2 linked regions of the Kluyveromyces lactis genome follow. The protein of the gene in region 2 binds, or shares a complex with, the protein of the main gene of each other region. Links are inferred from orthologs where the notes say so. Each region holds a gene or a part of one and is shown on either strand. Other genes may lie near its edges.

What was found.
Region 1: RPS12 (region 2) and RPS2 share a complex: the UniProt entries of both Saccharomyces cerevisiae proteins name them as parts of the small ribosomal subunit. The link is inferred for Kluyveromyces lactis from reciprocal best matches to the Saccharomyces cerevisiae genes RPS12 and RPS2.

The regions. Positions count from the first base shown.
Region 1 is NC_006042.1:900,970-917,373, reverse strand, and holds RPS2 (40S ribosomal protein uS5), read right to left. Parts: upstream 14,221-16,404; coding exon 13,441-14,220; downstream 1-13,440. Other genes in the region: CHC1 (clathrin heavy chain), read left to right, coding at 1,105-6,069; chromatin-remodeling protein SPT16, read right to left, coding at 6,295-9,396; KLLA0_F09867g (uncharacterized protein), read left to right, coding at 9,624-10,733; mRNA-binding protein NAB2, read left to right, coding at 11,294-12,862; OM14 (Om14p), read left to right, coding at 15,636-16,163. UniProt on the Saccharomyces cerevisiae protein: Component of the ribosome, a large ribonucleoprotein complex responsible for the synthesis of proteins in the cell.
Region 2 is NC_006042.1:9,401-25,433, reverse strand, and holds RPS12 (40S ribosomal protein eS12), read left to right. Parts: upstream 1-5,983; coding exon 5,984-6,388; downstream 6,389-16,033. Other genes in the region: NDD1 (Ndd1p), read left to right, coding at 694-2,346; GPB1 (Gpb1p), read left to right, coding at 2,923-5,310; RAD17 (Rad17p), read right to left, coding at 6,640-7,752; ubiquitin-protein transferase activating protein PEX22, read left to right, coding at 7,897-8,367; KLLA0_F00286g (uncharacterized protein), read right to left, coding at 9,296-10,915; KLLA0_F00264g (RTA1 domain-containing protein), read right to left, coding at 11,775-12,710; KLLA0_F00242g (arsenic resistance protein), read right to left, coding at 15,174-16,033. UniProt on the Saccharomyces cerevisiae protein: Component of the ribosome, a large ribonucleoprotein complex responsible for the synthesis of proteins in the cell.

The sequences.
Region 1 (16,404 bases), about 880 kb from region 2:
GCCATCCGATACCCTTCCGGCGTTAATATTCTGTAACCATTTCTCTGCTTCTATATTCTTTCCTCATTGCGAGTGCACATTATGTGCAGTAGGGGTTTCCAAGTTTCGGGATGACTGAAATCGAAATCGGAGCTAGCACATAGGGAGAACTGCTGGTGAGGAGAAATGTGATAAAACGGATCGTCAGTAATGACACGATGCATTTCCGGGTAACGTGACAAACAGAATGGATTTGGAGAAAAGGGGGTCTAATATTGTTACCCGGATATAAAACTTCGTTGTCTCCTTTTTTTTTTTGAATATGCTGGTCACGTTACGTGAAAAATGTGGTGCAGTAAACATATATATATATGCTTGTATATAACCATAATACTTATTACCCGGCCGAGGACATTCTCTAGTTCCATTTGATATTCAGAAGCAAGTAAGCAACGAGTAAGGCTGAGTTGTGGATTAGTGATAGGCCACAAGCTCAATTCAAAATGTTTCCTCTATCTTGTGACCCATGACATATATATTCGATGTACCGTTTGTTTTCCTTTTGTTTAATAGGCTCCCCCTTTTTACCAGATTCTGTATCTTGTTTGTTTGGTGATCTTTTGAATTGAAATTACCTTCATTCCATGAAAATAAGTGAATTAAGCACTTTCTTTGAAAATTCATAGTTCTCGAATTAAAAACGACTTTTTAACTTAGGAAAAAGGGTTTAAAGTAGATTGTCTAAACTTATTCTTTTAATCCATCTTTCCGCAGGACTGCGACTCATTGACTGCAATTGGTTTATTGAAGTCAAAGCTGGAAACTACATCGAAGTATTACAGAGCTAATTGCTATACCTTTTTTTCTTATTTTTGTCTCGATCCGATCGGAAACTTGTTTCTAAAATAAAAGACAAAGCAAAGCTAAATTAGGTGTCAATCTTTGCACTATCTTCATTTCTGTTCCCTTTGAAGTATATCAGTGCTTTAATTGACTCCCCGCTGAAGAAGTCGCTTCAATTCAGTGTAGATTGTTATAAACACGAATTCAATTGAAGTGGAATTATCCTAAGATAAGTCGGAAGAAATAGTACTTTAAACCTAAAAACTAAAACTGAAAACCAAAATGAGTGATCTTCCCATCGAATTTACTGAATTGGTAGATCTAACATCACTAGGTATCTCCCCTCAATACCTAGATTTCAGATCTACCACTTTCGAATCCGATCATTTCGTCACCGTTAGAGAGTCCTCCAACGGTACAAACACGGTGGCAATTGTCGATTTGACAAACGGCAATGAGGTCACAAGGAAAAATATGGGTGGTGACTCTGCCATCATGCATCCTTCACAAAAAGTTATCTCTGTTAGAGCTAACGGAACCATCGTTCAAATCTTCAACTTGGATACTAAGTCCAAATTGAAATCTTTCCAATTGGATGAACCAGTTATTTTCTGGAAATGGTTGAGCGAAGACGTGTTAGGATTCATCACTGCTAACTCACTTTACGTCTCCAATGTGTTTGATGGAAACGTTTCTGCTAAGCCAGCCAAAATTACTGATAGACACGTTAACTTAAACAACACCCAAATTATCAACTTTGTCGCCAATGAAAAAATGGACTGGTTCGCTGTCGTTGGTATCATTCAAGAAAATGGTAAAATTGCTGGTAAAATTCAATTGTTTTCGAAAACTAGAGGCATCTCGCAAGCCATTGATGGTCACGTAGCTATCTTCTCCAAAATTCTTTTGGATGGTAACACGGAACCCGTTCAAGTCTTCGTTACAGGTAACAGAAACGTCAACACAGGCGCTGGCGAATTGCGTATAATTGAAATCGATCCACCTCAAGACCAGTCAGTAAGATACCAGAAAAAAATTGTAGATATATTCTTTCCAGCTGATGCAGTTAACGATTTCCCAATTTCTGTTCAAGTCTCTGAGAAGTACGGCATCATTTATGTTTTGACCAAGTACGGTTTTATCCATTTATATGAGTTAGAGACTGGTTCAAACTTGTTCGTCAATAGAATCACTGCGGACTCTGTCTTTACTGCAACATACTACAACCACAAGAATGGTATCGCATGTATCAACAAAAAGGGTAACGTTTTGGCTGTTGAAATTGATACTACTCAAATAGTTCCTTACGTTTTGAATAAGTTGTCCAATGTATCCCTCGCATTGACAATGGCTTCGAGAGGTGGACTACCAGGTGCTGATGATTTATTCGAGAAGCAATTCGACAACCTTTTATCACAAGGCGATTACAGCAATGCTGCTAAAGTTGCTGCGTCATCCCAGCAATTAAGAACTCAAGCTACAATTAACAAGTTGAAAAATATCCAGGCACCTCCAGGATCAATCTCTCCAATTTTACTATATTTCTCCACATTGTTGGATAAGGGCAAACTAAATCAATATGAGTCTATTGAATTGACAAGACCACTTCTACAACAAAATAGAAATCAATTATACGAAAAGTACTTAAAGGAAGACAAATTACAATGCTCTGAAGAATTAGGTGACATCGTGAAGCCATTTGATACTACTTTGGCTTTGGCAACCTATTTGAAGGCGGAAGTACATCCAAAGGTAATTGCATGTCTTGCAGAATTGCAACAGTTCGATAAGATTTTACCATACTCCGCCAAGGTGGGATACAATCCAAACTTCGTTGTTTTGATTTCTAACCTATTAAGAACTAACCCCGACAAAGCAAGTGAGTTTGCCATCAGTTTATTATCTAACCCTGAAACTGCTTCTCAACTTGAAGTTGAAAAGATTGCCGACATATTCTTCAGTCAGAATTACATTCAACAAGGTACTTCTTTCTTACTTGACGCTTTAAGATCAAATACTCCTGATCAAGGACATTTGCAAACGAGAGTATTGGAAATCAACTTATTAAATGCCCCTCAAGTTGCTGATGCTATTTTGGGTAATGACATTTTCTCTTATTATGATAAGCCAACTATTGCAGGTTTGGCAGAAAAGGCAGGTTTATACCAAAGGGCCTTGGAAAACTACTCTGATATTAAGGATATCAAGAGATGTATTGTCCATACTTCCTCCATTCCAGCTGATTGGTTAGTGGACTTCTTCGGTAAGTTGAATGTCGAACAATCACTCGCCTGTTTGAAGACCTTGTTAGATGATAATTTGGAAGCAAATCTTCAAATTGTCATTCAAGTTGCAACCAAGTTCTCGGATTTGATTGGTTCTCAAGTATTAATCAAACTCTTCGAAGATTATAGATCAAACGAAGGTTTATATTACTACTTGGCTTCTTTAGTAAACTTGACTACCGATAAGGAAGTTGTTTTCAAGTATATTCAAGCTGCTGTCAAAGCTGGTCACTTCCAAGAAGTTGAAAGAATTGTAAGGGAAAACAACGTTTATGACCCAGAGAAGGTCAAGAATTTCTTGAAAGATGCCCAACTACAAGATCAAATGCCTTTGGTTGTTGTTTGCGATCGTTTCAACATGGTGCATGACTTGGTTTTATACTTGTACAGAACCAAAAACTTCAAATTTATCGAAGTGTACGTGCAACAAGTTAATCCTTCTAAAACTGCTCAAGTTGTGGCAGGTTTATTGGATGTTGATTGTGACGAGAAAGTTATCACCTCATTGTTAGATACTGTCGTCGGTCAAGTTCCTATCGATGAATTGACTGCTGAAGTCGAGAAGAGAAACAGATTGAAGTTACTATTACCATTCCTCGAAAAGACTTTACAATCTGGGACTCAAAATCAGTCTGTCTACAACACCTTAGCTAAGATCTACATTGACTCAAACAACTCACCTGAAAAGTTCTTGAAGGAGAATGATCAATATGATACTTTGAATGTTGGTCGCTATTGTGAAAAGAGGGACCCTTACTTGGCGTACATCGCCTACGAGAAAGGACAAAACGATGATGATTTGATTAGAATCACAAACGAAAATAGTATGTACAAATATCAGGCCAGATATTTGTTGGCTCGTTCAAACTCTGATTTGTGGAACATTGTGTTGTCTCCTGACAATATCCATAGACGTCAATTGGTTGATGCTGTCATTAGCGTTGGCATTCCTGAGCTTACTGATCCAGAACCAGTGTCTTTGACTGTGCAGGCTTTTATGTCTAACGGATTAAAGACGGAGTTAATTGAATTGTTAGAGAAGATTATCCTAGAGCCATCTCCTTTCAATGACAATCCTGCTTTGCAAGGTTTATTGCTTCTCTCTGCTATTAGATATGAACCTAACAAGGTAAGTGGCTTAATTGAGAAATTAGATCATTATGATGTTGATGAAATTGCACCATTGTGTATTGAAAATGAATTAAATGAAGAAGCCTTCGAAATTTATGATAAACATGGGAAACATGACAAAGCATTGAAAGTTATAGTCGAAGATCTTTTGATGTTAGACAGAGCAGAATCATATGCCGACAAAATCAACACACCAGAGCTATGGTCTCAACTTGGTACTGCAGAATTAAATGCATTACGTATCCCAGAAGCTATTGACTCTTACATCAAGGCTAAAGATCCTTCGAACTTCATGAACGTTATCAAGGCTGCCGAAGACGCTGGTAAATTTGAAGAGCTTGTCCCATATTTGTTGATGGCTAGAGAATCTTTGAAGGAACCGGTAATCGACGGAGCATTAATCTTGGCATACGCTGAATTGAGTAAGTTGAATGAAATTGAAAACTTGTTGTCAGTCTCTACCGTTGCTAACCTAGAAGAAGTTGGTGATAAGTTATCCCAGCATAATGATTACAAAGCTGCCAAATTATGTTACTCTTCTATTTCTAACTACTCTAAGTTGGCTAGCACTTTAGTTTATTTGGGTGATTATCAAAATGCTGTCGATACCGCCAGAAAAGCTTCCAATGTTAAGGTGTGGAGACAGGTTAACGACGCATGTATTTCCAATAAAGAATTTAGATTGGCTCAAATCTGTGGTTTGAATTTGGTTGTTCATGCCGAGGAGTTAGACGAATTGGTTGCTGTATATGAGCACAACGGGTATTTCGAGGAGCTAATTTCCCTATTCGAAGCAGGTTTAGGTTTGGAAAGAGCTCATATGGGTATGTTTACTGAATTGGCAATCCTTTACACTAAGTACAATCCATCCAAGACTTATGAACACCTAAAGCTATTCTGGTCTCGTATTAACATTCCAAAAGTCATAAGGGCTGTAGAGGATGCTCATTTATGGCCAGAATTGATCTTTTTGTATGCACACTACGATGAATGGGATAATGCTGCTTTAACGATGATTGAAAAGTCTGCCTATAACTTTGACCATTCGTACTTCAAAGAAATCATTGTTAAAGTGTCAAACTTGGAAATTTACTACAAAGCAATCAACTTTTATGTGAAGGAACACCCTTCACTACTTGTTGATTTATTAACCGTGTTGATTCCAAGATTAGACATTCCAAGAACTGTTAGAATTTTCTCCAAATCTGACAATCTACCATTGATTAAACCATTCTTAATTAATGTCTTGCCAAAAAACAACTCCGTAGTTAATCAGGCTTATCACGATTTGATGATCGAAGAGGTTGATTACAAAGCTCTTCAAGACGCTGTTAGCTCGTATGATAAGTTTGATCAACTAGAGTTGGCCACCCGTTTGGAAAATCATGAGATAATTTTCTTCAAGATTATTGCTGCCGAATTGTACCGTAGAAACAAAAAGTGGGCCAAGAGTTTGGCTATCTTCAAGGGCGAACAGCTCTGGAAACATGCTATTGAAACTGCTGCAATTTCACAAAGTCAACAGATCGCCGAAGACCTATTATCATTCTTCATTGAAACCGACAACAAAGAAGGATTTATCGCTTTACTATATTCTTGTTACCACTTGATTACATACGATACTGTCCTTGAACAAGCTTGGTTGAATAACTTGGAAACATTTATTAAACCATATGAAATTTCTGTGAAGAAGGAGCAAAATGATGCGATCAAGCAATTAAGTTCCGAGTTTGCATCAAAGGCAAAAGTAGGCTCTAACTCCGATGACCAGCCATTACTTTTGACAAATGGCGCGATTGGCTCACAGGCAACTGGGTTTTCTAACTACTGAACTTGAGGGGGTTTAGTAAGTTATTTTCCATCGCACTTTCGATGCTGTCATGTTAATTTGATGAACCGTATGTATAATATGTAATAAGAATGCAATTACGTTGAGATAAATAAACCAACCAGAATAACCAACTATTTCAATAAAAAAGATTTTAAAGTGCCTACATTATGTGCTTATAAAAATACAACCCAAAATAACGATAAACTATCCAGAGACAGAAAAATCTTACTCTTTGTAATTGCTATTACGATCTGCCTTAGCTGCTTTCTTTTCTAAGTCATCCCAGTCATCACCTTCGTCATCTTCTGATCCATCGGCGAAATCATCTGACCCTTCATCACTGAATTTTTCGTCATCCGAATAATCCTCTTCTTCTTCAGAGTACACTTCCTCATCAGATGGATCCTCATCAGATGCCTCGTATTCTGAAATTTCTTCCTCGCTCTCATCAGATCTTTCATCATCGGATCCAGTTGCCAAGAACGACCACCCACCATCCAAAAAGAATTGATGAGGATCATCTTGTAGCGACTTCATGATTGTCGACCAGTTCAAGTTAATTGTAGAAACAGTATATGGAATATCAACATCTGTTAACCATGTCTTAATGAATTCAAGTTGCTCAATTGGTACAGTGTTTATATGAGAAACAGGCTTTGTCAAATCTTTATAAACAAAGACCATGTCAAAGTTCTTCAATCCAAATTGAACTCTTTCAAGTATACAAATCTCAACTTCGTTCAAATTTATGACTAAAAATGGCGGTTCAACTAATTGAATTAAGCAGTCTCTCGTTGGCATACAGAACACGGCTGATCTAGAAGGAACACCTTGGAAACCAAGATCTCTAAATGGAGAATCTACATCTAGGAGACCATCGGATGCCTCTGCTATAGCTTCAGCAAAATATCTAAATTCTTTATCAAGGGCAGCACGTTTTCTTCTTTCTTCTTGTTCTTGTTCTAATTCATCTTCATCACCATATCTTCTAAATTTCATGTTGTTGCGTCTGCTGTTTCCTGTCTCATCGACAGCCATATCAGATGCTTCTCTGTAAAATTGAATATCTTGGATCTTCTTTTTACCCATTAAAATAGGATTCTTTAGATGAACATGAATGATCACAATAAGTTCTCCCTTTGATGATTGGAAGAATAGATTCTTGATGTTTGAGAATAGGATATCAATTCTTGAATCTGTCCTCAATGGAGACTGGTATCTGATACCATTTTCATGAATGAACACCGTACCTGGCACACGCTTGGTATCGGGACTAGGCCTGACAAAGATTTGGTCCAAACGTTTAGTCCTACCAGTTTTGTTCTCCACCAATTTAGCCTGGACAACAACATCAGCCAAAGCTTTTCTTTCCTGTTCACGTTTGGTAGATTCCTTCTTAAGATCAGTAATTTGTTTGAAAACATCGCTCATGCGAGCACCATCCTTAGATCTTAAAGTTAGAGAACGAACAAATTGATTCTCTGGGTTCTCTTCATACGGCAACTCCTCAGTTTTCTTACCGACACCTCCAGCACCAGGAGAATGGAAATTCAATCTGAGATAAGTGTATTCACCTTCTTCATTTTTAGAACCGTTTTTGTATGAATTGATATGAAAAGGTACAGGTCTACCATAGATTGGTAGAATGATTGTCTGACTCTTCCAGTCGACATGAATCTTCAAATCACGTACATTGGATGGTATTTGAGTTTCCCTAACGTAAGATTCGTACTTTTTGAAGAAATGCTTTGGCTTCTCATCGCCATCTACTGCATCTGCATCACTGTATCTGAGTAAACCTTCCTTCTGTAATCTTTCATGAAGTTTTCTTTGGTTCTCTTTGCGGATTTGTTCTTTCTCTTCATCGTCAGCACGACTTTCTCCACGTAGCTTAGATCTCAAAATCTTCGATGTACCATCAGGTTTTGGTAAAGCAGGAGGCTTGCTTTTTTCAGATTTAACAGTTGCAGCTTTGTTCTCTTCTTCGTTGTTGAAGTAAAACGAGATTTGGGATCTAGCCTTTGTGTACTTGGTCAAAGTGGATGGCTTTCCATCAGAAGAAAGTTGAACGGTATCTGCTAATTGAACAGCATATACCTGACCAGTTTTACTATCCTTTAAATTCCCAAATCCGAGTGAAATATTGTAACAGCAATTCTCTGAAATTTTATGAGCGGTTGGTTTAGCATTGATCATACCAGCAGAGTCTCTAAATTCCAACCCCATCAAAGAACCAACATTTTTAGTAAAGTGAGATAATAATTCCGGTTTCTTTTCTTTGATGAATTCCAGTGTCTTTTCATAAATAGATGTTGGATCAGCTTCTACTTTTAATAAATCATCGATGATCTTCTCTTGCAAAATCAATAAAAAGTCATAATTGTCAGTCATTTCATCTGTCGGGTCAATCAAAAAAGTTCTGGTGATATTGGAACAGTAATTCTTGTATCTGATACCGCATGAGGCTAGGATGGAACCCTTTCCGAAAAGTGAGTCGTTGTTAGAACGAGCAGAAACCTTAAGGTCGAACTTAGAACCTGATTGCACAATTGGAGAATAGGCCCAATCAAGGAAATTAACGTCGAATTTCTCGTCGGTAGGACACAAAGGATTTAGATCACTTGAAAGTTTCTTCAAAAACTTGGAATCATCTATCTTGTTTTCAATTTTATCTGACAACTTAGAATTTGATATTTTTAGTTCTTCGTCAACAGCATTGACGATTTCATTTGACATAAGATCCATGAATTTGTCAGATCCCTTACTGGATACAGAAAGGTAAGCCTTTTCCTTATCATCTTTGCCCTTCCAAGTAGAAGACAAACCAGCAGAGCAATCGATTACGTTTAAAGAATGCGTCTTTTTAGCTTCTTCCCAAAGCGGTTTCCATTCAAGAATGAGCTTACCTTGATATGAATCCTTCGTTGGGACACCGACAGTATTACCGTTTTCTGATAACAGCTTGATGAGGTCCTCAAACAATTTCTTATTGTGATTTGCATCCTTGTTATTTCTTTGCCAGATCTCAAGTTTGTAATCTGATCCTTCAAACTTAGTAACAGCGGGCAAAAGATGTTTCGCCTTAGCACTGCTGGTTATGATGACACCTTTATCCTTGAAAAAGGCAATCAATGTAGCTGGAAACTCATACCCTAGCAACCAATTATGCAAAATGGTGGTCTTTTGATAAGGGTTTTCCTCATTAGTCGAACCAAGTACAAAGAGAAGACTATTTGGAGAACCTTCAAATCCAGAATATGCCTTCCCTAATTTTGTAAACCTATCATAAAAGGCTTGGAAATCAATTTCAATTCCTCCGTCACTCATTGTTACTTGAGATTAGCACAATGGGGTCCTCAATATCTAACCAAAAAAGACAACTGCCACGCCTAATAGAACAATGAGTTTGAAATACCGAGCCACGAAATGCTTTGCAGGTTATTTCAATAAAAGTACCAAAGAGTCCCTTTGCTTTAATTTCCTGCCAGCTCTTAAACAATGGGTATAGTTTGCAAAAATTATTAATGTTACTCTTCAATTTAAAACTATAATATATGCATTATTGGCGTCGCGTTTTTTTTTTACTAAATTTTGAAAAATTCAGGTTAAAGGGAGAATATATCACTGTAAACGGATTTGATTCTCTTCACGTGACTGGAGATCAATTCCATACTAAGATGCTTCCAATGTATTTTGAACCGAGGATGACTATAATAGAAGTTAACAGTGGAAAGTGCACGTTTACTTTTCATTATTGGGTGTATATCAACATCAAAGCCTATAATCACATCGGGGTGGTTCACTGGTTTATTTGTACCAAAATAATGAGTGGGAACAACTTAAGTTCTGCTAACCATCTGGATAGCGAGAAACTAACAGAATTATTGAGGAAGAAGTATCCTTTTTTGGTGATGTATGATGGGAAGAACGATGTAATAGATCTTGGAAAGTTTTATTTAGGATTTGCACATTTTATGTCGCGAGAAATTACTTTTGCGGAGCAAATCAGCAGCGAATTTATATTCGCCTTCATGCGAATAGACTCAGAAAGAAGACGTCTTGAGCATGATGACGAATTGTTTTCCAAGGCATCCGATGATCTTTTGGCTACAAGAAGAAATATAAACAGATGGGCTAAAGAGTTAGAAGTGCAAATACTTCCTATTGTACTCTCTGCATACCAAATTCTTGCAGGTGATTTAACTGAGGGAGTAGAGAAGATAAAGGAAGCACTTAGGGATGAAACTTTGGATGGATTAGCCATAAGACTCAATATCCTTTCAGCGTATGCTATCGATATTATTAACGAAGTGATAACTATTTATCCGGAAATGTACAACCTGTCGGTATCTAATAAGAGAAGTCTTGGGGATTACTCTCTACACCTCACATTAGCAAGTCTTCTTTTGCAGTCTCTTCATCTATTTGCCGACCTTTGTGAACGCCATCCGAATTTATACCAACGATCGTTGCAACCTTTCACTTATGAACAATTCCAGATAGAATTGCAGGAAAAGTCGGAAGCAGTTACCAAGATCAACGAGGAATACGAGGAACTTATTAAAAGCATTACGACCATAACATTTAACAATGTAATAAATTACATGAAAGACAAGAAGACAAAACTACGAGACACTTCTAAAGAATACCTTTCTAAAGAATAGATATGAAGTAAGAAATTTCGACGGAATTTGTTATATGCATTGCATCTCATCACGAATAAATAAATTATAGCATAGAATCATTCTGCATTTCCACATGGAAACCCAATAATTAACTCCTCTAAATAATGAATACTTCCCTAGAGAAAGCTACTAGCAGTTTTATAAATATGAGAAAGATTTCTAATGCTCATCAACCACTGATCCAGGTCTCTACCTAAAACTGGAACAGGGTCTATTCACTGTCACTATCATATAGCAACTAACATATAATACAGGAGTTAACAACGAATCACGTGATAGCTCGGATAGCAGAGGACATCGTTCTGATTTCTTTTTCTCCACTCAACCTTCTGCGTAATATTCTACGATATTCCGTATACAGAGCCAAAAAAAAAATTGTTTCGGGCTGGTACAAGAAAAGGAAGAACAAGATTACATATACTTAAAACGAAATTAATTACGAATAATCTGAATGATTCTTTAGCAGTTATTTGAACAAGGATAAAAGCTAGTTTTGTTGCTTGATCAAACTAAAGAGGACACAAACCAAGAGTAGCAACATGTCAACTGTACCTGAATATATTGCCAGCAATTTAAAGACTGTCATCTCCGAGAGATTAAAGGTTGTTCCTAATTTCAACGAAGATGTTAACCAAGTCGCTGAGTATATTACACTTTTAATGTCCAACGGTTCCAGCGGTCCTGATATCGTACAAGAATTGACAAGTTTGTTTGATGGTATTAGTACGCAAGAGTTCCAGAGTGTTGTCTCCATTGCATTTACATCTGCAGATCTGTTGAAAGCAGGCGATGACTTGAACACCGTTTATGCAAAGTTGAGTGGTAATTCATCTCAACCTTCTTCAAGTGCACCTTCTGCACCTGTGTCAACTGGAACCGAAACATCTGTAGGAGTACCAGTACAGTCACCACCCGTTTCTGCTCCAGCTCCAAGTGCACCGGTTTCTGCATTTAGCGGGGTAGTAGATGTGTCTGCATCTAAATATAATACGGCTAACGAAGGGAGGTCTTCGCAACGTAACAAAGATTCATCGGCCCATAATGGGACTTCTAGACGTGGTGGTTTCAGCTCCATTAGAGGTGGAATTTCAAAGAGTGCTGGTGTTACCAATAGACGTGGAGTTAACTCGAGATACGGTGCTAACCAACTGGCGATGGCTCTTGGAATAAATGAATCGGAAGGCGCAAATGAAACATCTGGCCATGTTGTCATCAAGAGAGAAGGCCGTTGTCCTGATTTCCCTCACTGTTCTCTAGGAAGGAAGTGCCCTCGTGGACATCCAACCGTTACGTGTCCAAGTTATCCAAACTGTAAAAATCCACCAGGTACATGCACTTATTTACATCCAAATGAAGATGGACAATTAATACAAGAACTAGAGCGTGTAAGAGAAGAACGCAGGATAAAGAGGGAAGAGATGGAAAAGAAACAACAGCAAAGGATCAGTGGTATTGTTGTATGTAAATTTGGGATCATTTGTTCTAATCAAAAATGTCCATTTGGTCATCCAACTCCTGCAAATGAAGACGCAAAGGTTACCCAATTCAGTTGGTGCGAGAACAACTTGCAATGCACTGATCCGACCTGTAACAAGGCTCACAGTTCCTTATCCAAGATTAAGGAAATAAAACCAATCATACACAAGCCAGCACCAAAACCGGTCATTTCTAAACCTTCTAATCCAAAATTCGCGCCAAGATCGGTTGTCCCATTGGAAGAAAAGATTTTGGAACAATGTAAGTTTGGTCCAAAATGTACCAATAAAAATTGTCCAAAGAGACACGCAAGGTCGTCAATCATGTGCCGCGAGGGTGCGCAATGTACAAGAATAGACTGCCTCTTCGGTCACCCTATCAATGAACCTTGTAGGTACGGGGCTGAATGTAGAACATACGGATGTTTATTCCAGCATCCTCCAGAAAGGGTATTGCCTGAAAAGCCAAAAAAGCCTGATACAGAAAACACCAACGGTATTTGGTTCAATCCGCAGCTGATTGGAAGTGGAAATTCCTCGAGTAACGAGAGACCATTTGCTGTACCAGAATCTAACGTACAGTCAGTTCATGCTGGACAAGAAGTAGATGGCGATGCTATGATGATGAGTTAACATTCCAATCTACTCCGCTCTATTTAATGGTGATATCCTTAACTGTTTTATTTGAATTATTATTATAGTGTTATATCTATTAATTATTAAAAAAAAAAAAAGTCTTAAAAGGTAAAAAAATACTGTAAAGTAATAAAAAAAAAAGGTCAACCGGAAGAAAGACTACTGTAAAAAAGAGACTGGCAGTGTTTAAATTCCAGAAGCCTATTAATATGATTGGCGTATCTTGACCTGTACTCTAATGGTCATATAAGAGAAATCCCTTTTACCTTGATTTTATCACTATCTCTTTTTTTTACCATATGTCTTTTTCTCTGGTTTTTCTTGCTACGAAGTGTATAGGACAGTCATATAGTTTCCCTTAGTTAGTTTGTCACGTATATTGATCATTTATTATGATCGATCCTAAAGGGTTAAGGTCAATTATAATGAGTGTGAATATATATGATATGTAGCTTGTGAAGAGAAGAGGAACAATTGGTAAAATGTCAACAATATATTATTGTTTCAGAGAAAACATACTGACAGCTATAAAAAAATATCTATACAGCACAGTTATAATATTTTAAAGATGACATTTACAACTTCTTCTTGGAAGCAGTGGCGTAGTCGGCGTAGACATCCATTGGGGAAGGAGTCAAAGCTTGGACTTCCCACAAGTTTGGAGTCAAGAAACCGTAGGTGTTACCGATGGCAACGAAAGCGGCCTTCAAAGTGTTTTCCAAAGTTCTGGTGGAACCAGTAGAAGAGGTGTAGACATCTTCAACACCAGCCAATTGCATCAACTTCTTGACAGCTGGGGAGGCGACGATACCGGAACCTCTTGGAGCTGGAATCAATCTAACGGAAACGGAACCACACTTACCAGAGGTCTTGGTAGCCAAGGAGTGAGGTTGACCCAAGTTGGTACCCCAGTAACCTCTTCTGATTGGGATAACGGACAACTTGGCGATGATGATACCGGCTCTGATGGCACCAGCAACTTCCTTAGCGGTCTTAATACCCAAACCGACGTGACCGTTGGAGTCACCAACGACGACGACAGCCTTGAATCTGGTTCTTTGACCAGCTCTGGTTTGCTTTTGGACAGGCTTGATGTTCATAACTTCATCCTTCAAGTTTGGCAACAATTGGTCAATGATTTGGAATTCCTTGACTGGCAAAGAGTGCAAGAAGATTTCTTCGATGGAAGAGATCTTGCCGGCCTTCACCAATCTACCCAACTTGGTAACTGGAACCCAACCCTTTTCTTCTTGGTCTCTTCTACCACCTCTTCTACCACCTCTGCCACCTCTGTTGGCACCACCGAAACCACCTCTACGTGGAGCTTGTTGACCTTGAGCTTGTGGAGCAGACATCTTTGATTTATCGAATTGTACTTAATAAAGACTTGTCGGGATTGGATCACGGAAAGTTGATGGATAGGTAACTTTCAATCGACAATAAATACAATGCGTGGGGAGCTTCGAAGGAGAAACAAATAGAGATTATAAAATTAAATTACTTAACGTTTGGTAAGATGCAGCTTTGTTTAGTGATGAGATAGATAGGTCTCATGTGTGAAAAAAAAATATCCGACGTGTTTGCATGGTTGTGAAGCTAGAAACCTTTGAAAAACTTTGATTGTACTGGCAGGGTAAGAGGATATAAAGAGGCTATAAATCACGTGTCAAGATAGTTTTGTTTAAAGGTCAATATTTCCTATTAAAGAAAGTGGCGATCATTATTGAAAAAAAAGATGGAAATTGAAATTGCCGAATGTACGGGTGTTAATGGAGAAAAGCAGTCCACAAAATTTATATCCCGACTAGGAGATATAATTTGGTTACCCTAGGTTACCCCAGGTCCGGCATGCATTTTGCTTTCTCAGTTTGCTTTCACCGCAATCAGGACATTCAGTCAATAGGACACAGAAAAGTATACAGAAGAACAGCCCTTATTTTACGGTAACAACATTATCAAGCCATGTTAGTAGCAAATACACTCCAATTGGCCTATTAGACAGAAGCAAATTCATCTTCTGAGACAGAAAAGTGATTACTTCTATCGCTATCCAGCGTAAATGACGTTTATGCCGCACACCTTCTCAGCATCTTGGAAAGAAAATGTTCAAACGTGGAACAGAGAAGCCAAACTAACGCAGCGGGAACCGGCTGTAACCGCTCCATCCGTATTACAATACATAATACATAAAAGCACTCACACTACATCACCAATAGTTACACTTCGTCACACTGTGACATTTCATCATTGTTCGACTTTTAGCTTTTATCGTGATTGGGATTGTGATTGTGATTGTGATCTCCCGTTTTCTTTTTTTTTTTTTGTTTTCTAGATCAGTTCTGAGCACGGATATTTAAGTAGCGATATATCCCTGAAAAGTACGATATTATATAACTGCGATACTACTAGTAGGGTATTGTTTGAGTCTTCTCCACAAGATTGTCTTAGTTTAGTAACCTCAGGTCCAAATCGAAAAGTTCAAAGTTTGGTTCAAATCAGTTCAGAATCAAAGCCCATACCGGTGTTTTTTTTTAATAGTTCCTTTAGACAGAAATACCATAATCAGTTTACCCTTTTTTCTTTCTATAAATTCAACCCCGAAAATATAAAGAGACAGAAAAAGCCGAAAAAAAATAGTGCTCATTAAAATAAGGTAAACTATCGTTACAATTTTGTTAAGGCTTTAACATTTTCTATATTCTCTCTATTATCAACTCTTTAGGGATTCAGTTTCACAACAAACGTATCAGTGTATCAACAGAAAATAAAAATGTCATCAGAAAAACACGACGCTCAACACCACAACCAGCAGCAAGAAAAACGTAAGGCAGCTAAGGACGTCAAGGAAGCCAAGGAGACCGCTAAGAATAAGGCTTCACATGCTGCTCATGATGCCCATGATGCCGTTGATAAGGCTCATGACGAAGTTAAAAAACATCTCGATGAATACGAAGGAATCTTGAAACCATACTGGGATAAGCTAGTCGAAATTGTCAACGCTGTCGCCAGCAAGACAGTTGGTGTTACTCAAGCTACTGTTTCTACCGTTGCAGCTAATACTTCGAAGGCTACCACTATTGTCTTGCATGAATTGCAAAACCCTGTAGTTGCTTTCAACACTTTGCTAGGTGCAGCCTCTATTACAACTTTGCTAAACGGATATGCTAACAAAAGACGTTTCTTGAAGGGGAAGTCTGACAAGGATATCGCTTTGATTGTTTCAGGGTTGAGTGCCTTCATTGCTGCAGACGCCTACGTCAGTTACTACAATTACAAAAGATTCGATAAGAGACACTGATATGGATTCTTTTTTTTTATTTTTGTGGAAAACTTGTTTCTCCAAATCTCTTCTTAACTCGTCATCTCATCTCTCTATTTCATTCTCTTTAAGTTGAAGAGAAAAAGTCACGATTTTGTCTCAGACGATGCTTTCTAAAATTGTGTCGTTCTTATGAAGTAAAAAAAAGAATATAAAATTAGGACCTCTCTCCACATATATATTATTCTTCTACATATATATATATAACACTATCTTTTTC
Region 2 (16,033 bases):
AAAATAAAAAAACAAAACAAAACGAAACAAAACAAATGTAAGCTAAGACAACCTTCAGCATAACTCTCAACCTGGCTATCGATATTTCATGGAACAACTGTTTCAATTCGTGGACGTTTAACTGAGTTTAATTCTGCCTACCCGGTAATACTATATAATTCCCAGAAGCTTGAAGATATTACAACAGAGGGGAATAGCAAACAACCATCATTTACGCATAAGTGATACAAAAATCATACTTTATATCCTCTGCTAGTTAGCTTATCTTTGGAATTTGTTTACGAAACCGTTGCATTGGAACACTACTACAGATTCACTATTTGATTTAAGACTGTACGTTTATCTATTTCATCAATCGTCATACCCATAGAGTAACAGTACGCGTGTGGTGGGATCCTTATTTCAGGTTTAGTTCAGCACTGTGACTTTCCTTTCTCCTCTCGTTAAAGACAAAAAGAAGCATTCGCTTGGATTCAGATTACACTCTGTATCGTTTTTTGTTTTTCAATTTCAAGATACAGTTTGACTATTGTGTTTATATTTAAACAACTGGACATCTCTCTTTGTTTCATTTGAATTTTTTACATTGCAGCCAACTACGCCTTCATTTCATTTCTCACAACGACATTCGTTTACCGTAACAATAAATCAAGAATATTATTACCAGTGCTACCAGTGTTACCAGATTTCCAGATGAATTCAAGGGACGAGGAAGCCAATTACTTGACAAGTCCTCATATCTACCGGTCAAATGCAGGGCAAGAGCAGCTTGGTACTAAATATGCCTTCAATAGTCCGCAACCAATGCAACACACATTACCAACTCCATACACCCTTAATCAGAACAAACTGGACCATATAAACGCTGTTGAAAGGGATAATTCCGATTTGAATGATTACTCATTGGTTGAAAATAGCATGCTGAATCATCGCAATCACCAGCGTCATCACCAGCACAGCCATCGACCCACCGTTGATCCGAACACTAGCTCCAATGATATCGATGTCAATAGTAGTCAAATATTAACTGATGGTGATAACTCTATCAATGCTGAATTTACTGGTACGACACATAGTTCAACATCACACGACGTTGAAGTGCTTCTGTCATCCTCGAATTCGAGAGCCTCCGCCTCCATTGTTACAGGTTCCAATCAAGGTTCTACCATCCAGACATCAGCAAACTCAACAGAAAGAAATGGGAAGTCATCTATATCTTCATCCTCATCATCATCGTCAGCGGCAGCAACTAGAACAGCAATCACTGGAAATAACATCTCTCAACCAATCTTACCTGATATAAATGAACAACCTTCCTCTGTGTTGCATTTCGGAAATTTTGCAAACGAATTATTGCTTGCGAGTCCTGAACAATTCAAAGAATTTTTGATGGACTCACCAGCAGGTTTAAACTTTTGGCAACAAAGACAAACTCCCGCCAAGACACCTCTTAAATTTGTCACTAATAATACGAATTTAACCCATCAACAAAATAACACAGGATTGATGAATTCCATTCACTCTCCATTGCAAAATATTGATGTAAACCTCATGTTCAATTCTGCTTCCAAGACTTCATTGTCTCCGCCTCGAAAACAGATGTCCTTGACGCCATACGGCAGAAGGATTTTGAATGAAATGGGAACACCGTTTACCAAAATGATGCAACCAATTTCTTCGAACAACAGCGCATTGGTTGACTTTCATCGTGCCCGAAAGCATAACTTACAGTCTACACCTACTTCAAGACCAGCTTTAAGGAATGAAAGCCCTGGATCGAAGCTATATTGCTCATCCCCTACCACCATCCAACTTCATTCGTCAGGTGTCAAATGTTCGCCTGAAAGAGATCCAAACATCGATGAGAAACTATTTCACCTTCGAGCATCACCGACACCTAAACTATCCCTAAATAAAAGTGAGAAGTTCAGACTTGACCCAAGTTTTGAACTACCGAAAATGGGATCCTTCAAAGAAGGGCTCACAATTCCGTCATTAAGAGCACCGGACACTAACAACCAACCAATTAACATTAATAACGCTAATATACATTCCAGTATGGGTACAACACATGACATATCATCTACTTCGGAAAAAGTAAGAAAACCAAAGCTTAACAGAAATGGGAATAAAAACAAATCTAAGACAAATCAATTAATCACAAAACAGAGGTTCCAAATTATAATGACCGATACAACCAGTTTTAATTCGGATGACGGAGTTACTTCGAATAATCAAGCAAAATTAAAGAGATCTCGTTCGGTTATTGTACCTGGAGAAGTTAAGAAAAAGAAGAAAAAGAAGAAAGTCTACGAAACTTCTAATATCATACCTAATTCTCAATAAAAGACAGCATAATCGACAAAAAAAAAAGGGAAATTAAATCAATGTGCTTTCCCCATACTTTCAGCAAGGAACAATGCTTGCACTTTTCCTTATTCATGTTTTATATCTACCTTATCCTTTCGCACGCCTCGCAGCTTTTGACTGAAGGCTTCGTTTTTATATTTTCATATTACTCTTCAATTCTTATGTACATCTCAAAGCATCTATATTAGTTTGTGCCGTTTCGTTTTCTTCCCAATAAAGTTGGTGATAATTCAATAAAAAAAAAAAAAAATTGGTATTCACCATCCAAAATCAGGCTATCTTGTGAACTAACTTACAAGGAGTTCATTGTATGTTGCAAGAACCTGCAATTTATGACTGCTTTGATTACAAAATCCTGCCCAGTAGCCGTGCCTTACGCCCTTCAAAATAAATAATTCCCACTTGAAAAACAAAAGACAAAAAGAAAAACGAACAATAAATATTACAATCCGCCCCCAAATCAATTAAGGAACAGTCGAATAAACTTTAAAATAAAGGGAACCTCAGATAAAGCTATTGCATAGTTTGTCAGCTCCAAATTCATCGTTCAATATGGAAGCTCTTGATCCTCTTAGTCAGGATCCCAGGCCATCTGAGGAACGTGCCATTAAAAACGATCAACCTTACCATTTAAATTATGAATGGAACGACGTCCCATCTACATTCAAAACAATCAATAAGGATGGTCAATACAAACAATTTTCTCCAATTCCTTATATCACTAGTTATATTCCTACATTGAATACGCCTGCTGCTACCGCGGAGCTTATGAAGGAAGAAAGGGAAGTAAATCTACAGAAATTAAGGAATTACTATCATAAGGAAGCATTGGACTCTTTGGCAACACGGAAAGATAGCTATGTCTCTCAAAGTACCAATTCGCCTCAGAGCAGATCTTCAAGACGTAGGACCTCACTATCCCATAGATTCTCATCATGGAACATGGATCGTCTTCCTGAAGAGCAGAAGTCCACAAATTCTTTTAGCATTGACACTACTCAGGAAAATCAGGCCACTGAGGCAGCAAAGGTTTACATTAAGTACCGTCAGAAATTTTCATCGAACTGCGACTCTTTTTCTTCCGGTGAGATATCTGAACGTGAGGAAAATATGTGGGTGCCGATTGCTAGGTGGCAACCAAGCTCTCCGGACATGGAGCCAAAGCTGTACACATCCTATAAAATCAAACTCAACGTTCCTTATTCAGAAACATGTCCAATTACTATTACTAAGCTGTATCCCCCAATTTTTAGTGACACTAGAGTGCCTGCCCTAACATATCATTCCATTGTTAATTTGGATAGCTGTTTGTATATTTTTGGAGGAATGTCACCATCCTATTCTTTCTCCGAAGTTTCCCCGGACTTATCCAGTTTTCACGTAGACGGAATAAAACACCTTCCGCCTCCATTAGACGAAACAATCATTAATAACCCGGCTATGCTTCCAAGTAATAAGTTGTACACATTTTCTTATACGTCAACAAAGTGGACTGAAGTGAATGCCACAGGACAGATCCCTCCCGCTTTAGTTTGTGTCCAGGGCTCTATTTTAACCGACAGGCATATATTCTATTATGGTGGCTTTGAAATAAAACACGAAGTTTCAATTGATCCTAAAACAAACGAATACTACATTAAAAAGCGAGCAATATTGAACGATACTGCATATATATTGGACACTTTGTGCTACAAGTTCACCAAATTACAGCTTGTTGCGCAACCTACAAAATACGTGAAATATCCGAATACAGTCCCCAGATTTGGACATCTACAGGTTTCATTGAAAACACACACCCATAAATCTACCAGAAGTTCAACATCAGGTACTGATTCTCCCCCTTCTTCATTGTCATCCTCAACAGCTGAAAAGAATTCCTCTACTAATACTTTCGAAGACCCTATGATGAATTTTGTATCCTCATCAATGGCATTGAGTTCCGATAATATCATTTCCCCAACCTCATCAAGTTCACCCGGTGTTTACAGCATTTTAATTATGGGTGGTTATAGAGAAGGCGGAGATGGCAAGTTCATACCGATATCCGATTTATGGAAGGTCGAAGTGACCGTCCTATCTCGGGGCAAACGTAACTTTTTGAAGTTTGCTGACACCGCATTAGTGACAATAATATCTAGATTACCACAAAACGCAGTTGATGAAGCATTTCTGAGGGACTATTACAAAAAATGGCCTTTACCTAGAGGTTTTATGGCATCTTATGTCGTAGATACAGACTCTTTGAGTCCGAAATCTATGGACGCAGATCTGTTAGACAGACTAATGCATAATTTCAAAATAGTTGACAATATTAACGATGAACCCGTTGTAAACGAGCCGATGATTCCAGGAAGAACCATGAATTCCAGCACTAGTCCCAAAAGATTAAATAAGTCGCTAATAATACATGGAGGTTCCGCAAATAAGTTTATTCACGGTGATATGTGGTGTTATGATTTAGATGAGGGAACTTGGACAAAACTATCATTGAAAGCCAAGGACAAAGAGACCGGAGAGCTCAAAATAGTTGAATTTCCTCTTACGGGACACACTTTTGTACATAATAAACAGATCACCGTGGTAATTGGAGGATTGAGCCAAAAAGACGTGGATTCTTCTTTATACTGGAAAGACTACAAGTATGACGAAAAACATCAACATCCCATGCATGATACCGATGGAACCTTCACGTTCATCAGTTTACCATCTCGGGTAATTAGAAACTTCGAAGTTGTTAACATCATGAATAGAGCCAGAACAAAATATACGGAAGATATGCCTTTGTCTGCGCTGAGACTATCATGTAATCCCATCGTCTACGATCAAGACTACATATGGACGGTAGGAGGTCTTATAACGGATACGGAAAGCTGTGATGTTTTCCTACGTGGTGCAATATCATTGGTAAACTTACCATTGATTGATATCCCAGGTGTATAATGACGGACTTTTCAACGGAGATATGCTGAAAGTATTTATGACATCCGTACTGTCTGCAAACAGCAGTTCAAATTCGTGAATCGTCAGAGTTGACAGAACGACTACTAGACTATAGCGCTTATTGATATTTAAACTACGAAGCGCGACCCATGCTGTTGTATTCATCACTTCTAATCTTAATGAAAAGACTTGAACAAGATTAAAATACCAGTGACTGTCATATTTGTTTGCACCCGTACATATTCCAAAATCCTCCTCAAATCTGAAGAAAACTAAAGAATTTCCAAATATGGCATCTACACGTCAACATAGTACGCGCCACCACGGACTAGTCTTAAGAAAAATGTTCACGAAAACACCTGGACATTACAGCGAAAGAAAAGGACGCAGTTGTTCTGCCCTCCGCTGTCGTCTGTTGATTCTGAAATATCTTAAGTGTTGAACGTATATAGTGCGCTAAACCTTAAAGTTATTTTTCACGGTGAATGGTGGAAGCTTTATATTTTGAATTCCCATGATTTAAGCTAATATGTTGAAGAGTATTGAATAAAACGTTTCGGATGGTCTTCTTATTAGTTTAGTATGTTTTTAGTTTTATGTTATTCTAAAGTCTTCACGGAGCAGTACCACTGTCGAAGAAGTCAATACTTTAGAAAATTTTATCAAATTAGAAATGTCTGACGTTGAAGAAGTCCAACAAGTCCCAGTCGCTGAATTGACCATCGAAGATGCCCTAAAGGTCGTCTTGAGAACCTCTTTGGTTCACGATGGTTTGGCCAGAGGTTTGAGAGAATCTGCCAAGGCTTTGACCAGAGGTGAAGGTCAACTAGCTGTTTTGGTTGAATCGGTTACTGAAGAAGCCATCAGCAAGTTGGTCCAAGGTTTGGCCACTGAAAACAACGTTCCATTAATCAAGGTTGCTGATGCCAAGCAATTAGGTGAATGGGCCGGTTTGGGTAAGATCGACCGTGACGGTAACGCCAGAAAGGTCGTCGGTGCTTCCGTTGTTGTTGTTAAGAACTGGGGTGCTGACACCCAAGAAAGAGAAATTCTTTTGGAACATTTCAGCCAACAATAAATGAGTGGATTTTGAATCTATGTTCAAATCCAATTTAACGCTTCTGTTTTACTCATTTTTCTCATACTCAACAATAACATAAACAGATTTCTTCATGGGAATATGGACATTGTTTGGTTTGATAAAATGCTCTATTTTATAGTTTGTATATATATTCTAGGGTATCTATATGTTTACAAATAGTTTCCATCTATACCTAAAATGACGTTAATTCCAACCTGATTAATTCAGCTTGTCGAAGCAGGGTTGCGCTAGAAGAATAGCGGCAAATCTTGCGAAGCAGCTTCATACCCGTCACTATTTTCCTCTTCTTTATCGTCATGTGCAGTTTTCTTCGGCGGTTGTTGTGTATTGGGAAGGAAATTATGGCGCGATTCACTTCCCATATATTCAATCATCATTACTTTTATCTCATTTACGTCTGGAAGCTCTGGAAGAGCTTTCTCAAGCATGCATATCTCAATAATTATCCCAGGATAATGACTTGGTAGATTGTTACCTGAAATGGCTCTAGTCCTCTTATACTCCTGGTCATTAGGTCTTAGTATATCCTTCGTTTCATTCAATATATTAACAGTCATCAAACCATGTACATCTCTACGTATCATGATTTTTGAAGCAATCCGAGCACTGGCTCGTATTTTGTCTAGCATTCCATAATCAAAAACACTTATCATTGGATGATCATATAAGAGGGTGGTTGAATCATTTGCGTATATTTCGAACTTCTCTAAAATCGATCTCTCATTAGGTAATATGATCTTAGATAAACCTTGTTGAGATCTTGAAATCAATGCGAATAAGGGCTTTTTGGTGGTTTCGTTATGTATCGCATAAAAATAGCAATCTTTGCATCCAATTTCCTTCAAATCGTGTAAGGCATTGTGTAAGACATCCCCTTTTATTATGCATTCGAATTGCAGTCGCGTTCTATCTAGTACCAACCCAGTGTTGTCTAAGTCTTTGAGCAGATATGTTGAGTATTCGACGCTTTCAGTGATCATGTTATCTTCGAATATTAATATGAATGGGGATCCATCCCCATTATATGTTAAAGTACACTCAATTATATCGTTCCGATCGTTACTGATATTCAAACTATCCAATACATGGTCAAGCCGCAGGGATACCTTGGTCAAAGATGTTTCAGTTATCGGGCTATAGTGAAAGGTTTGAAATAACTCCCGTGAAAGAACCAATTGGATCTTGATTACATGATTGTTTTCTTGGGCAAAGGACAAACCATTTTTATCTATGGTGATGAGCATTTCACCTTTCACTCCAAAAGGTGTTAAACAATTCAAAGCCGTCACAATATGATCCAAATGGACAGTCGTCGCATAAAAAATAGGAGAATCTATCATTGTGGGTTGCCGAAAGATTAAGGGTTCAAGATGTTGACGGTTCTCTGGTTTCTACTTATTTATGTATTGTACATACTGATATATTGTTTATAAAAACAAGTGAAATGGAATCAAAATCATAAATAGAAACCTCATTGCCATTATATGCGAGGAGATAAGGAAACCACCAATTGGCTAAACAAGTCCCTTATGAAGCAAGCCCGGCAAAAGAAGCTTTCGATTATAGCTGTTGGGGTATTATCGACAGTGGCAGTAACTGTAGGTTATTTATTATATCTGTATCGTGGCCAGCGAAACCCGAATATAAGAGACGTAAAACCAAAGTCGAAATGTTACGTTCTTACACAAGACTTGTTCGATAAGATCGAAAATTGGCAAGAAGAACTATCAAAAGACAGCGTAATGTTAGTTTTACCAGAAGTTGCCCACTTAGGAAATCATTTAAAGTTACAGCTATCGTCTATTGAACATAAGATTGTCATCTTTAACAATTCATCGGCCGTTTGGAGTGCAGTTAGGCATTTAAAGAAATACGAGTTGGTAATAAGTCGTGATAAGACTTCTGATATGCCAGTAGATCTCAGGAGGTATGTGGGACAGATTTCGCACATTTGAAATCTGAAATTTACATCAGTTTTAATGTATGCTATTATAATAGTACTATAATGTTTACATCGTAAACTTATCTCTAACAGAACTTCTGGCTGAATGAAATGGTTAGAAATCTACCATATTGAAATTTGCTATTGAACTGCAATGCATACTATGCTTGATGTTCGTGATTGTGTATTCTACAAATAAAGAGTACTCGGCTATAACAACAACATGCAAGCTGAAGGACTTTATTAAACAATCAAGTACTGTAAAAGCAGAAAGCCGACATACGCATTGTATCACCCGAAGAAGGTTACTAGATTTCTCACATCCTTACTCCTGCCTCAACATGCACTGGAATCAATATAAAAAAAAACAGCATTCCTTAACAGAATGGCCTCAATGATATAATATTAGGAACTGTCTTAGAGACAGGATGGTATAGCACAGCATAGGGCCGAAATAAAATGTTATCGCCAATTTCAAAACTGATCTTCATTACCTCTTTATTTTGGCGCTTATATAATTGATCCTAAGGACCAAAGGATAGTGCAGTGAAGTGTAGCAAGACAATGTTCTTTTGAGGAAATAATTGGACTGACAGTTATTAACTGATATTTCAGCAACTTAAAAGAAAGAGTGGCTTGTTAATGCTATTTGATATGCAGGATCAACAAAGCCATAGTAATAGCTTCCACGATAACACAAGAAATTTCTGCTTATGTGTCTTTGGAGCTATTTATGGATTGTGAAAGGCTCTATTCGTACTCGTCCACATAGCGATGCCCCATTTTCAAATATACAATATTTCCATAAAATGACGTTCTAGAAATGTGGATATATGCAGTTGAAAAGAACAGAGCTTTGGGTAAATTTGTAGAAATTGACGAACGATTTACAGAATGATAGTTGCTCCATCCCAAAATTATACACTCCTACTAAAGGTAACTCATAGTGGGTAGATAAATCTTTTGTTTTCAAAATCGGTAAGATCTAGCATGGCTAGATTAACTCTTTCGTTGACTCCTTCTGTGAAAGAAACAATACCAAAGTTGTCTTCTGGATGTTCTTGAACCCATTGATACCTTTCTTTGTTCCTTTTCGCCAAAATGTATCTGATTGTTAACAAAATAACAATATTAAGGAAGAATGAAACCACAATTTGAATAATCCAGGATGGATAGTATCTTGGGGCATCCTTTGGATTCCAGAGTTGAGGAGAAATGATGTTTGCAGCGCCATATGCCAACATAAACATTACGTTCCTGTAGAGTTTCTTGGTATAACCGGCTGCAGATGATGTCGTCCATCCCAAAGCAATAATGTATGTGATACCCTTTGAGGAGCCGGCTAAGATCATACAGGCTAACAACGCATATTTGTTGGACCAATCTATTGTAACCATCGCAATACTGGACGCAATTGGTAGAATCAGACAACCGGCTGCAATATAACCACTTTGATTTGGATAGTTGAGGATAACAAAAGCGAATATCAAGTACAGTAGAATGTCCCAAACACTCCCAGCCGCAGAAACCAATGAAGATCCTAGGTTGTCGACACCGATATCAACATACAATTGGTTCTGTTGGTATGTCAATGAATTTGACAGCATAAGAGTAAAACTTTGGAAAAAGAACAACCATGAAACTGGATCTTTGAATGTTTCATAAATTTGATATTTTTTGATTGTCTTCTGTTCAATTGATGATTCCGTTGACCGTTGCACTTGCTTTATAAGATAGACTTTTTCTTTTGTTGACAGAAACTTTGCGTTAGCAGGGTTATCAGGGTAGAGGAGTAAGACAATTATGGCAAGTATCAACGATAAACCAGCATTGATTGCCATAAATATTCTCCAAGGATAAGTGGATGTATTCGTATGCATCAATCCAAAAGAAATGAACGATGAAAGTAAAGGTGCTGCTGCTGTAGCTGCCCAAAACACTGGTTGAACAATTTCACGTTGCTCCGTAGTAAGGAACATACCAAGGGTAATCTCACAAGCAGGAACCACCACGGCTTCGGTGGCACCTAAAAAAAAACGACAAGCCATTAAACTACCATAATTATTACAGATTCCTGTCAACCCTACAATTATTGCCCAGGAGAAAATACTTCCAGCGAGATATTTTCCCAAGGGCAATTTTTGCATTAATATATGACATGGCCATTGAGCAATAAGGTACCCAGCGTAGAATATAGAATTTAAGTTGTTAAAGTCGCCTTTACTGATTCCTGTGTCTGTATAGATTCCAAGAATGGTAGTATAACCGATTGTTGATTTATCCATGAAAAGGATTAACGTAACAAGAATGGTTAATAGAGATACAGCAGCGAAGTTTTTCTTAACAAACTTTTTCTCTTCCTCCTCAGTAAGTGGTTCCACGGTAGATTCGTATTTGTCCATAAATTTAAGAAGTTCGTCAGCATCTTTGACATCAATTTTTTTTTCCTTTTTATCAATTGAATCTGAGCTAGTCTCAAATTCGGTGTATTTCCCGTTTTGCAATTTATCATCTTTATCGACTACTTCAGCATCTTCGTTTTCTATTTTCAATTCAGACATGGTAGTGTATTTTGCTTGTTTTCTATAGATGATAATTCTTTAAATCTTATATATTACGTATAAGAAAGAACAACCACACAGAATCACATATCATCTGTTAGAGAGGTCCTGACTTTATATTTGTTAAATTGTTGAAACAGCAGTATGGGTTATTGGCCCACATTGCTTGAGAGTCTCTGCAAAGACTCATTGTGTTTATCTATTTCAAAATTAGTAACTCCCGGGGTCTCTCACAAATGAAGTATTACGGTGAAGACAAAATTAAAATTATGAGATTGGTGTTACACTAGTTTAGTACGTGTTTGACTTGCTGGTAGTATTCATGGCCGTTGAGCGGTCTTAAACTTTCATCACTGTGACTTTGTGGAAAGAAAGAATATGTCTCGAAGACATTTTTACAAGGTTTGAAAAAATGCTTTTGATCGGCACCTGTAAGAGGACGCAGAGGTTTCTGTCCGACTACAGACCCTTAAAGAAAGATACGTAGCCTTTTGACATCTGTCAGGTTGGCTGTAAAAAAATAGACAGCAAAAAGTGTGGTCATCACAAAATGTGGAACTAACTATGGGTACAGTTACTGGCATATGCTAGATTTGTGGGGATAGTATACTGTCTGTACACCGTTGCAAATTTGGAATCGTGGTTCAGTACTGGAACAATTTCTGACTGCTGATGTTGGTAGTCAAAATATCGCGATCGGATAATCCTTTAAGAATTAGTCAGAAAATAGTAATATGACATTTATTCAATTTGTTTCTTATGTATCTGCTGCAACTACATAAAAATTCGTCTCACAATATCATACTTGGATATCAAAGTCCATTTCAAAAACATACACGAACTTTACTTGGGCCTTTGTTCACTTTTTATCAAAAGCTTCAGTTTGCATATAGCTGGCATCATCACCACTCTTCTCCTTGAAAGAATCAAGGAGTTTGACCTCATAAATGATCTTAAATATGTCTCCAAATTTGAAAGTAACGATCCATACCAATGAAGCAAGAATCATCATTAGCGCGTCAAACACGTACAAGAAGTACTCGTGACTGATAATGAAGCCTTTATTACCTTGAATAAATTCAATGGCACGTACAAGAGACCTGATCAGAATTAGTAAACTGATGCCCAGAAGTGTTAAGTTGAGCGTTCTCCAGTGAAGTGAAAGGTACGGAACAATAGCGCTAGTGCGCTTTACTCGAAGCAAGAAACGTAGCTCTGTGATCATGAAAAAACCGAAGACTGCAACCTGCACGAATAATCCAACAACGATGATGTTGGACCCAGTTTTTGATTCACTTGACGTGTCAGCATTGGCCATGATACCGGCACCTGCACCCTGCACAAAGAAACTTAAAACATCACCAATCACAAATATAGTTGTGCTCCAACGTGCAGGAACTATGGAAAGCTTCGTACATTGTAGATAATGTAACATTTGACCAAATACCATGTAAATCGTCGCAGCGAACAAAGCTGGCGCAACAAGAAGAAATACAGATTGGAGAATGTATGGCGTCAACTTGTCGGTATCATTCACAGACATGTACCGCATACCGTATCCAACAGCTTCTATGGCAATACCTACCAAAAATGGTAAAAATCTCAAAATGGTGAAGTTCCTAACTTTGCGTTTGTTACTGGCACTCATTTTGTCAAACCTTCTTACAGACGTAGCTATCATAATAATCATCGAAATAAATAACACGCCAAAAGTTGCACATACGGCTATGGCAGCTGCCTTAGAAGGGTCGTAACGGTACTTTTGAAAACTTTCACTTGCGTCTCCAGTAGCCATTGTTTCGATGAATATTGCTGCTGTTTAGTGATTTTCGTTGGATATTTTGTTTTGTTCAGCTATTCTGGACCCTCCGAAAGCAGAACATTGATCGTAAAATGTTGAACTTCCATGAGTGTATTTATATCTTAGGTCCGATACAACAAGGCAATGCCAATGGCAAGATGGATTGATTATCGATATGCTCCCCATAGGCAGATATGCGATGAAATGTGATTAGTTAGAGAAGCCCTGAACCATGCACAGTTCTAGCATCAAAGTAAGAAACAGGACCATGGATAGGGGTAGGGGCTATAGGAGGAATGCCGTGGAGATGTGGAAAGCTGCCATTGAACAGCTGATCACGGGACCAATGAAAACGGCGTCCAACATTCTTTTTTTTTATTCCTGCCGCTTTCCTGCGGCAGGAAAACTGCCAAAGTTCTAAGCCTTATGAAGAAATTCTTAGCCCTTTTCGAAACAATGTCAGCAGAAGAAAACAGACAAGTTAAGAAATAACGGGGGTACCAACAAATGTCGAGGCGCAATTTCCTGCACGCCCTTGAAGAGAAAATAAACAAGCCTTGTCGACTCATTGTGTCTATCAGTAGATCTTAGCCAAGAAAACAATGTTCCTATTGATCTTGAATATACTTCAAGGTAATGAAGCATGAGAATCGTAGGTACCTTGTATTAATTTGCAAAAGCCTCTTCAAATACGTAGCTCTCTGAATGCGGATCCTTTCACTGTGCTCAATCAAGTGTGGAACGCAATAGGTTCGTGTGTGGGGTGCTCTACGCACATCATCCGTCTGCACGCTTACAAAAGTATTTGCTCCTTCAGGAATTAGTCTGGGCATTGTCTTTCGCAGTTTTCGATGTACACAAAAGGGATCAGTAAGCTTATCTGTTAGCATTTTTTGGAAAAGAAGCGCTTTACAAAGGCAAAATCTTTTCAGCCTTTCAAAGTTAATCATTGTCTCAAAGCCTTGGTTCCCACATCTGTTCTTTCCAAACAAATTTCAACTTACGCTTCTCCTTGCCTTTGATACTTTTCTGAACTCTCAAATCCATGGATATACGACTCATCTCAGTACCCGATGCATTCATCAGAAAAATTCCCTTTGATGGGAGTTGGTAGAGGAGTAATTTACAGCTCTTGGGATGAAATTATTGAATTAATAACCTGAGCAGCTTCATTTGCTTACTGGCTGAACAAATTTTGGTGCATTTAATCAATATCGAGTGTTTTACCCTTTGAAATCCACCGGTTAAATCATCTCTGAAGTATTAGAGAAAAGAATAAAGGTTACAAATTTCGTGCTACTAGTTTTACTCGTTTCCCATATGTGTTATTGGGATTTCCTATGGTTGTCGCGCTGGGACCATTGGTGCATGCTGGGAACAACAAATACAAACATCCTTAAGTGATAAGTGATGAGCTGATTTAGCCTATAGTATTCTATTTGATTCGGTTCTCCTTGCAGATTATTCTAAGAGTTTGATTTTTGTTTTTTTGTGTTTTATTTAATTCTACGCTTCTGAGGATTTTGTCTGGTTTTCGTTTGAAAAAATCTGTCCAGTGAAAAAAAAATCCCACCAGTAAATACACCACATTGCTCAGGAAATCTTCGTTCATATCCTCTTTTACAATTCATTTCGGTAATTTGTCTATATGCTGGGTTTTTAGCTCTTTGAATTCGTAAATCTGTGAATGACCGGTCATCATTGTAGAGTCTTATACAGAAAGCTAACTTCTTGTCGTAACCACTCGAATTCAATAAAACATGAAGAGCGCACTCTATATCATCGATTGTCGGATAGTATGACGGATCACAGTTAAAATAGTTGGTGTAAATATCAGCTGCCACTCAACACCTGCAGCTTCATGAGAATAGACCGTACCAAGTTTGCATTCTCTCAAGGCAAAATAGTCATAGCACAGCTTCCATAAACTGTAATCAGTCGACAGCCCAAAAGAGCTCTGTTCGAAGTAATTTGGCTGTACTTTTGGGAATCGAGCCAAAATTTCATGATCATCTTCCACTGCTATGTGCGTCTGACTATGATCAGGATTTTGTTTTGTATCTTGTTGAGTATGGTAGCTTTGATTGGACTGAGAATATTCTTTCAAACAAGTGGTCTTTGAATCATTATCTGACGACGTTTACAAAACAACACTCGACAAAAATAGGATAACTATGAAAAATGTTCGATGTACGTCTAATATTATTTCAAGTGCGATCTCTACGTTACTAAGGTTTTTTGCCTTAGGTTCAACAGTTTACGTTTCTCTCTTGATTGATTAATGTATTTCTTTTTCAGTTTTTTCTCACTCCCTCAGATTCCTCAAACATCTCAAGTTTTTGTATTACACCACCGAAATGTATTCAAACTCTCCTTGTTGCACTGGATATTCATCATGTTTGGTAGTAGGGACTTGATCTAGAGGGTATGCTCATATTTGATAAATACTTTTATTTGCTAGCTTTCAGCTTTGAGTGGAACATCAGTCCTCCATATGAATCGTATCCGTAGATATCTAGCGAAAATGGCCAATATCATTAAGATAGGAACCTCCAACAATGGTCCAAAAGTTGCAGCTATGGCTTGCTGACTATCGTTTCCATAAATCGATATTGCAACGGCCAACGATAACTCGAAGTTGTTGGAGGCTGTTGTAAAACACTGTGTCATAGTTATGGGGTAGCTTGAACTGCAAGTCTTTTTCCCCCAATTTTTCTTTAGAAGAAGCTGCTCTTGATCGCATTCGCATTTTTCATCGTCACTGGGCTTTGTGTTCGTTAGATACCTCATGAGGACAAACGTGAAGCTCCAGGCGAGGATGAAGTATAAGACCAAAGGGATGAAACACAAGAAAGCGGATCCAATCTCATGAATGAACTGATACCCACGACTGACAAATAGGATGCAAATTGTATAGTGAAAGCCTATCATAGCCCATGGAGATATGTATTTGAGAATATGCTTTTCATAATTGTGTTTCCCAATACTGTAAACAAATATTAAACGAATTAGAATCCCACAACATAATGGTATTCCAAGAAATGCGCTAACGGACTTGGCCACCTCGCTAAACATTGCGTTGTAAGAACCCTGAAAATGGTCATTTGAAATCACGTAGCAGTATAGTAATTGTAAAGGCGCATATAGGACCATCTGCAATACCGAATTGCAAACAACCAAAACAACACACAAATCGTTATCACCACCAGCAATTTGGTTCCAAATCAATACCATTGCAATACATCTGGCGATTCCTATCATTATAATACCCTCACGATACTCTTTGTGCTCAAATAAGGCTAACCATGCCAAGGCCG